Callithrix jacchus: one gene and its partner. The protein of the gene in region 1 binds, or shares a complex with, the protein of each later gene. Links are inferred from orthologs where the notes say so. Each region holds a gene or a part of one and is shown on either strand. Other genes may lie near its edges.

What was found.
Region 2: the proteins of SMARCAD1 (region 1) and TRIM28 are in contact, whole or in part, in a crystal structure (PDB 6H3A), measured with the Homo sapiens proteins. The link is inferred for Callithrix jacchus from reciprocal best matches to the Homo sapiens genes SMARCAD1 and TRIM28. Residues at the interface, in NP_001362784.1 of Homo sapiens: Asp156, Leu157, Ala160, Lys161, Gln163, Thr164, Glu167, Leu168, Phe169, Asp188, Gly189, Ala190, Ala192, Leu196, Ala201, Gly202, Gly203; in NP_005753.1 of Homo sapiens: Arg330, Trp333, Thr334, Lys337, Ile338, His341, Leu376, Lys377, Ile379, Val380, Asp381, Val383.

Annotation. Positions count from the first base shown.
Region 1 is NC_133504.1:103,271,380-103,275,190, forward strand, and holds part of SMARCAD1 (SWI/SNF-related matrix-associated actin-dependent regulator of chromatin subfamily A containing DEAD/H box 1), read right to left. Parts: intron 2,896-3,811; coding exon 2,786-2,895; intron 1-2,785. UniProt on the Homo sapiens protein: DNA helicase that possesses intrinsic ATP-dependent nucleosome-remodeling activity and is both required for DNA repair and heterochromatin organization.
Region 2 is NC_133523.1:51,178,992-51,182,902, reverse strand, and holds the start of TRIM28 (transcription intermediary factor 1-beta), read right to left. Parts: upstream 2,346-3,911; 5' UTR 2,044-2,345; coding exon 1,704-2,043; intron 1,368-1,703; coding exon 1,255-1,367; intron 1,022-1,254; coding exon 889-1,021; intron 1-888. UniProt on the Homo sapiens protein: Nuclear corepressor for KRAB domain-containing zinc finger proteins (KRAB-ZFPs).

The DNA of each region.
Region 1 (3,811 bases):
ACCTGGATATGAGCAATATATAATAATATCTGAAAAATCACTGTTTATTTTCTTAGATGCTATAATAGTATTGTACCAACTTACAGGAATTATGCTGTGATACTGAAAATAAATTACCATGTTTACAGTTGACTTTATTATAGATCAATGGGAAAAAAGTAGAAAAACACGGCAAATGTCATTAACTGTCAAATCACTGTATTTTTCATTCATACTATACTTTCAACAATTAATGAAGTATATATACACACATATATATATTTATAGAGATGGAGTCTTGCTATATTACCCAGGCTAGTTTTGCACTCCTGGGCTCAAATGATCCTCCTTCCTGTCTCCCCAAATAAGCACTGTAAGCATGAACCACATGCCCAGTCACTGCTTTCATTTTTGTATGACTATTTCTGTAATAAAAAAATTCAAAGAGTATGTAGTCATGATTGTAGTAACATATATATTTTTTAAAGTTCAAAAAGGTAAAAAATGTTAATACAATTAATCACATTAAGGGAGGTTAATGAAAAAAATCCAAAACACAATCTTTATTTTAAAGCAGTGGTTCTCTGATTTTAGCTTTATCAGAATCACCTGGACAACTTGTTAAACTGAGTATTATCAGGTCCTATCGCCAGAGTTTTTCACCAAGTGGGTATAGAATGGGGCTTGGGAATTTGCATTTCAAATTGCCAATTTCTTAGGAGATGATGCTCCTGCTGTTGGTACTCTGATAACCACTAAAGCAAGCTCTAGAAACACAAGAATCTGATAAGCATATTTGAGAGGCATCATGGTCTTTACCTTTCACAGTTTTATGTAGAGGAGGCAAACAGATTGTTAACAAAAAGCTATACATACTCAATTACGAATATACTTTTTGTTTATAAAGGAAAAGGATTACATTGTGAGAGATGGAAAGGGCATATATGTCATCAATTCAGTGTCAAAATTACCTAAACGAAACCAGGGGCACAGCTGAAGACAAAATGATTGCAGTTCAATGAGTAAATAAAAGACACCATTACATCCTCAGTCTAGCAAATAAAATACACGCTGGGAAAAATGCGTATGTAAACAGCTTTAACAAGATAGAGAAAAACTTCCTACAGAAAGGAAGAGGGGTAAGGAGAGGGCAGGATTCTTCATAATTAAACATTTCAAAGCTACTGGCTTGAGAGCACAGCTAAAAATACACTGCTATTTTAACAGACAGTATAGGTGAACGTAACAGGCAAACTTTTAGACTGACCAAATTTATATAAATACGAATAATTTACATTATGACTGAAAATGATTGAACATACACATCACCTCTGCTCCCTTCAGCTGTAATGCCATTAAAATACGATGTGAGAAAAAGTGTTAAGGGGGTTAAACAAAAGAGAAAGGACAGGAGAGAAAGGACAACAGCAGAGAGACAGCTGCCCACAAATTCTGGAAGAAAATGATAGGTAAAGAACGGAAACTGATTTTAACGTAATAAAGTAAAAGCTTAAGAGTCTTCAGGTAGGAAATGCAAGGCTACTTCACACCCAGAATCCTTACCCTTCTACCCCCAAAGCCCAGGAAATGGGGTAAATGGGAAACATAAAGTTATCTATAAACAAGTTGAACAGGTAAGATTCCTGAAGCTTGCCCAAGAGAGCCAGCCATTTGCCCCAGACATATAAAAATGAATGAAGGTTTATTCTCTTTGGAGAACATAAGTCTGAAGAACTCTGGACTTGGCAGAGTAAAGAACAGAGAGGCTGCTGAAAACAGGCAGATTAACTATTAATATTTAAATATGAGAACAAACCTCCCTCCTTCACTTCTCAGGGCAGTTGGCTCATATCACCTCTCCCCACCTGTATTTTCACTTTCCAGGAGGTTGAAAAATACCCTTCTGAGGAAATAAACTAGCCCATAAGAAAAGACTATAGTTAATTATCAATTATTGTGGTTCTATTATATTGAGAAACTTGTTAGAATAAAATCCATATATCTGGATATTTGCTAGTATCACTAAAAAAGAATTTAAATACTTTACTAAATTCTAAAAGCTGCCCTAAATAATAAGAAAAACACTGCCCAAAGAGAATCTGCCTTACGCATTTACTTTACTGTATTTGCTGGACCACCTGCAATTGGCAAGTTGCCACATGCACACAAAGCATAGTAATTACTGTTAATTGTTTAACTTACGATCACTCTACTTATCCTTAATTTTAAAGATCTCAGTTGTTTCTTACTCAAACTTTCTCTACTGCCTGCCCCCCAAGCTTCCACAGCACCCTGAAATAAATGCTATGAAAGAAAGACAAGTAATTATTTGATGATCATATTTCTCTCTGTAGACAGATATATTGATTTTTATGTAGTACAGAGTGCCTAACAACAGACTTAACAGTGTCTGTCATGAACAGAAATTTGCTAAATTAAAATGAACCATTAGCAAGAATATCTTTATTAAAATAAAAATTGCTCATTTCCAATTAATTTAACATTAAAAGGGAAAGCTGGGAAGTAGGATGAGTAGGAGGCTTCTGTTCTTTCATATCTGGGTTTTGAACATACTATCCTTTCAAAAACATATATAAAAATAAAAATTTTGAAATTAAGGAATTTTAAAAATGATCAGTTATAGTACTTTTGAAATAAGTATGCTTACCTTCTCTGACATCACACATGATCCCTAAACTGTAAGCTAGTTAAGGATTTTAGCCATCTTTGTCATCCTCTTGCACTGACTAATTTGAATTGTGGTCATATAAATAAATATTGAAGTTTCTGCTTACAAACAACTTACCTTCATCTACAGTGGTCATATCTTGTTCTAGTTTCAGTTTCTGTTGGTTAATTTTTAGCATGGATTCTTCAATCGTCCCTTGACTTATTAGTTTTATAACTAGTACTTCTCTAAAAACAATGCAAGATATGTCCATTGGTTAATAAATATAGTTATTTGGATATTTCTAAACTATAAGAGTTCAAAAAGAATACCTTGAAAATTATGACAAACAGATCCTTAAATTCTTTTATTTCAACTACTTGAGGCTGACATTTTCTGATTATTTAACTTTTAGACACTCCTAAAGATTCAAGAAAAGAGAAAGATATTTGTACTTTAAAAATTACTGGCTGGGCACAGTGGCTCAAGCCTCTAATCCAAGCACTTTGGGAGGCTGAGGTGGGTAGCTTGAGGCCAGTAGTTCAAGATTAGCCTGGTCAACATGGCAAAATCCTGTCTCAAAAAAAAAAAAAAAAAAAAAGAAATAAAAAATTAGCTGAGCATGGTGGCACACACCTGTACTCCCAGCTACTTGGGAGGCTAAGGCATGAGAACTACTTGAACCCAGGAGGTGGAGGTTGCAGTGAGCCGAGATGGCACCATGCACTCTAGCCTGGGTGACAGAGTGAGGTTCTGTTTTAAAACAAACAAATAAACAAAACAACAACAACAACAAAAACACCAAAAAAAAAATATATATATACCATATATGGATAAAATTACATTACAACAAACAGTTCTTTGTTCAGATGGAAATAACATTTTTAAAAGAAACATGCTTTGCTTCTTAGGTCCTGAGAAGCAGTGTCTCTGTACACTTCAGGCAGTGTGGTCAAGCACAAAGTTTCACAATAGATACTGGTAAGTATTTAGTCTATAAATGACAACACCAATATATGTTGGACATACACTAAAATACTTCACGAAGACACTGTCTGCTCTTTATATATGTAAGCAGAGTTGCAACAATCTTCACCTCTTTACAGTGCTGTGACAAATGTCAAAACTGCCATTCATCTAAAATAATCTACAATTCAATTTACT
Region 2 (3,911 bases), on another chromosome or scaffold:
CTGGAAGATGAAATGTCAAACCAGGACCCTCAGAACGGTGGTCACACACCCCTCTTGAGCAGAATCTTGGAGCTCAGAATAATCCCACTCAAAGACCAACACATTAGTAACCTCCGAAAGCTGGGAAAGAGACTTCCCCAATGCCACCCACTCCTGCACCCTAACCCTTGCCTGGAACATCTGAAATCTAGGACACCCTGCAGCCCCTACCTATCCCTCCTGGTTCCTCAAGCCCCACAGCCACCATCTTCCACCAATGCCATCCTCTGGGATGGCAAGAATCACAGTATGGCTAGCAAAAGGCCACTCATGGAAGGAATCTAGGCCAAAAACTGGGCTAGACTCAAAAATCTCTCAATTTCCTTTCCAAACCAAAGCTAGTGTATGTCTACAAAAAGCTGGAAATGCCAAACCAAACTCTGGGTAAGTCGCTGACAAATCAAACCTAAAACACTTCCAGCAATCATCATCACTTATACTCCATGGATCCACAAAGCCTCACTTTCCCTAGCAGTGTCTTGTACCACATGTGTGCCAGCGAACCACTAACCCAGTAAGCCCTTCACACCATGCCTTTCCCTGTTTGCACATGCTGGGCCCTTCACCACCAAGACTGAGAAGTCCCTGATAAGTAACCTTAAACCCTTTATACCCTCCTGCAGCACAGTAAGGTCTCCCCTGTCTCCCGTTCTTGTTCCCTCCCACCTACACCCAGAAGACTACACACCACAACCCCAGTTTTCCTGCTTTTGGAGTTCTGCCCTCAGGCCCTTCAAGTGGCACCCCCTAGAGAACTCTAGAACCCATCCACCAGATGCAACCAACATTAGGAAAGCAGCTGAGGACACACTGGAGAGCAACTTCAATAGCCCCCTCAGCCTCATGTACCAGTAGAGCGCACAGTGTGATCCTTGGTGTACTTCACCCGCTGGTGTGCCTCTACACAGGTCTCACACAGAGGCTCCGAGCACTCCACACAGTAGCTGGTGGCTGGGGCATTATCCTCACAGCTAGTGCAGCACTGCCAGATAAAGACAAGATAAGAGAAAGCAAGACAACCTGATAGGTCCACATTTACATTCCAGAAAATACAACCCGAGATCAAGATTGGTCCCTGGACCCAGCCTAGGCAGCCCACCCAGAGCCTTGGGAAAGGGGAGTTAACAAGCCTGGAGCTGGTGCAAAGCTCCTCCTGGCCACATGTCCCCTCCCCATAAGCAGAGACCTCTTTGTGGATGCTGAGGTAGGACGCACCTGGTTCGCATCCTGGGCGTCGGTGGCAGTCTTGCTGCCACTGTCACGCATGAAATAATTCTCCACGATGTCTTTGGAGAAGCATTGTTGCTTGCATACGGGACAGTCCACCACTTCGAGAGACAGGGATGTGGGAAACTGTTACAAGTTCCCACCCAGGATATGGCCGGCCACATCCCCCTGCCGGCCGCCCCCCCACCCGACCATTATCCCGCAGCGAGCCAGCCCCTCCCCTCCCCGAGCCTTTTTTCTCCAACTTAAGTCAAATGTCCCATTCTCAGCGGCCGGCCCAGACCCACGTTGCTATGCAGAACCCAGGAAGTACTCCCCGTGCCCTGTCCGAGCCCCCATCCTCTAGCCCAGGTGGCATCCTCATCTCTGCACCCAGGCGGAATCAAAGGCAGAGAGTGGGGGAGGGGTGGCCGGAGCCCTGACCACTTCGTACTTACCTGCGCCGTCTCCCGCCGCCCCGCCGTCCCCCGAACTGTTGGCGGAAGCGGGCGCCGCGGGGCCTAGGCAGGCACTACAGGCCGAGTGCAAACAAGGCAGCAGGCGGGGCTCCCTCTCGGGTCGCAGGCGCTCTCTGCACACGCCGCAGTGCTCCAACAGCTCCAGCGCCTCGGCGCCGCCCCCCGCGGGCGACGACGCCGCGGCCGAGGCCGACGCCGAGCCTGCGGCCGAAGAGGCGGTGCTGCGCTTTTCGCCGCCAGCGGAGCCCTCACCCGGGCCGGGGCTGCCAGAGGCGGCCGAGGCCGCTGCTGCCGAGGCCGCCGCCGCCGAGGCCGCCATTCACACGCCGCCGGGGGCGCCCAGGGGGGAGGAGGGGCGCGGGGCCCGCCGCGCAGGCGCAGAGGCGCTCGCCGCCAACTGCTGGGCCGCTGCCGCCGCCGCCGCCGCGAGGCCGATCGCCGCCACGCGCCTCCTGGGCTGCTGCCCACCGCGCGCAGGACGCTGTTTGCGACACGGCCAGCTGCCGCTTGCTCGCTTTACGAAGGCGCCGCCCGCGCTTCTCCAGCCGCCGCCGAAATCCTCACCACGCGCCACAAGCACACCCGCTCGCCCGCGCGCTGCTCGCAGAAAGAGCCGCGACTGAGGGGCGGGACAGAAATAACTGGCGCCGACGACGCCGCGCACGCGCAAGGGGCGCCGCACGCCCGGGGGCGGGGCCCAGGACGGTCGGTGCGGGGAAAGGCCCCCAGTACGCAAGCGCCCACCCCGGTTCCCTCCACCACCGCCAGCCCTACCTCGGTGGGGCTCTGATGGTAGCGGGGCGGGGCATACGTGACGTCACTGCCGCAATGTAATCCGCCAGCGGGGCGTGCGCACCTTTATAGAGTGTGAGTCCCGTCTCAGCGCCGCCTCCAGACCACACTGAAGGAGGCCATTGAGCGCCCAAGCGCGTGGGCAGTTCGTACCAACCCCTCAACCAGCGTCTCTTCGTCCCGCTTAGAGTCTCTCCAGCCTCGGCGTCACTAAGAGTTCGGGATAGGGGGCAGGGCCGATGGGGAGGTGGGCGGGGCCAGGATCGAGTGAAGGGCTGTGCCCAGGGGAGAGGGGAGGAGAGTCTCCATCCTACTAGGAGGGAGGCAGCTCCTGGGTGAGCGCAGAGGCTGACTTTTGGAATCTAGCCACGTTATGATTAAACTTGAGAAACACAGAGAGTGGGGAGGAGGTGAAGGGGAAAAAAAAAGAAAAAGAAAAAATAATAGTCGTGAGAAACACAGAAACTCACAAATCAAATGTAGATCACGGCCGGGCGCCATGGCTCATCCCTGTAATCCCACCACTTTGGGAGGCGAGTAGGGAGGCTCCATTTAGCCCAGGACGCCGAGGCGCAGTGAGCTGGGACTGTGCCACTGCACGCCAGCCTGGACAACAGATCGAGAAAAATGTTTTTGTTTTGCTGTGTCGCCCAGGCTGGAGTGCAATGGCGCGATCTCGGCTCACTGCAACCTCCGCCTCCCGGGTCCAAGCAATTCCCCTGCCTCAGCCTTCCGAATAGCTGGGATTACAGGCGCTCACTACCACGCCCGGCTAATTTTTGCATTTTTAGTAGAGACAGGGCTTCACCATGTTGGCCAGGCTACTGTCGAACTTCCGATCTCAGGTGATCCACTCGCTTCGGCCTCCCAAAGTGCTGAAATTACAGGTGTGAGCCACTACGCCCGGTCCCCCCGCCCCAAAAAATGTAAATCACAAGAGGCTACAGAGCAAGGAGTGTGAAATCCCATCCAGCCCCCCCAGGAGTCCCTTCTGCTTGTTTTAGTCAGCAGCTACCCTGACTTTGACCCTTTTCCAGGTGGGAAAACTGAACCTCAACAGTGGGGAGTCCCAAGGAGGGAAGGAAGCAGGCCTTTGTGGGGAGAATCCTGTCTGAGGGACGCAGGATCTGGAGGGGAGGGATCCTGCCTAATGGGAGAAGCAGGGTCTGTAGGTAGAGGCAGACCCGCCTGGGGACTATCAGCGCGTTGAAAACCATGAGGCTGGTCCCGGGGGATGGGCTTCAGCCCCCAGTGCAGGGTCCCTGGTGTCCGGAGGTCTCCGGGCCAGGTGACAACGGCGGGGTGGGGGGTAGGTGGCAGCTTCTGGAGGATGTTTGGAGGCCGCGAGGACTGGCGCGAACAACCATGAAACCCACTCGCCACTCTCGAAGTGCA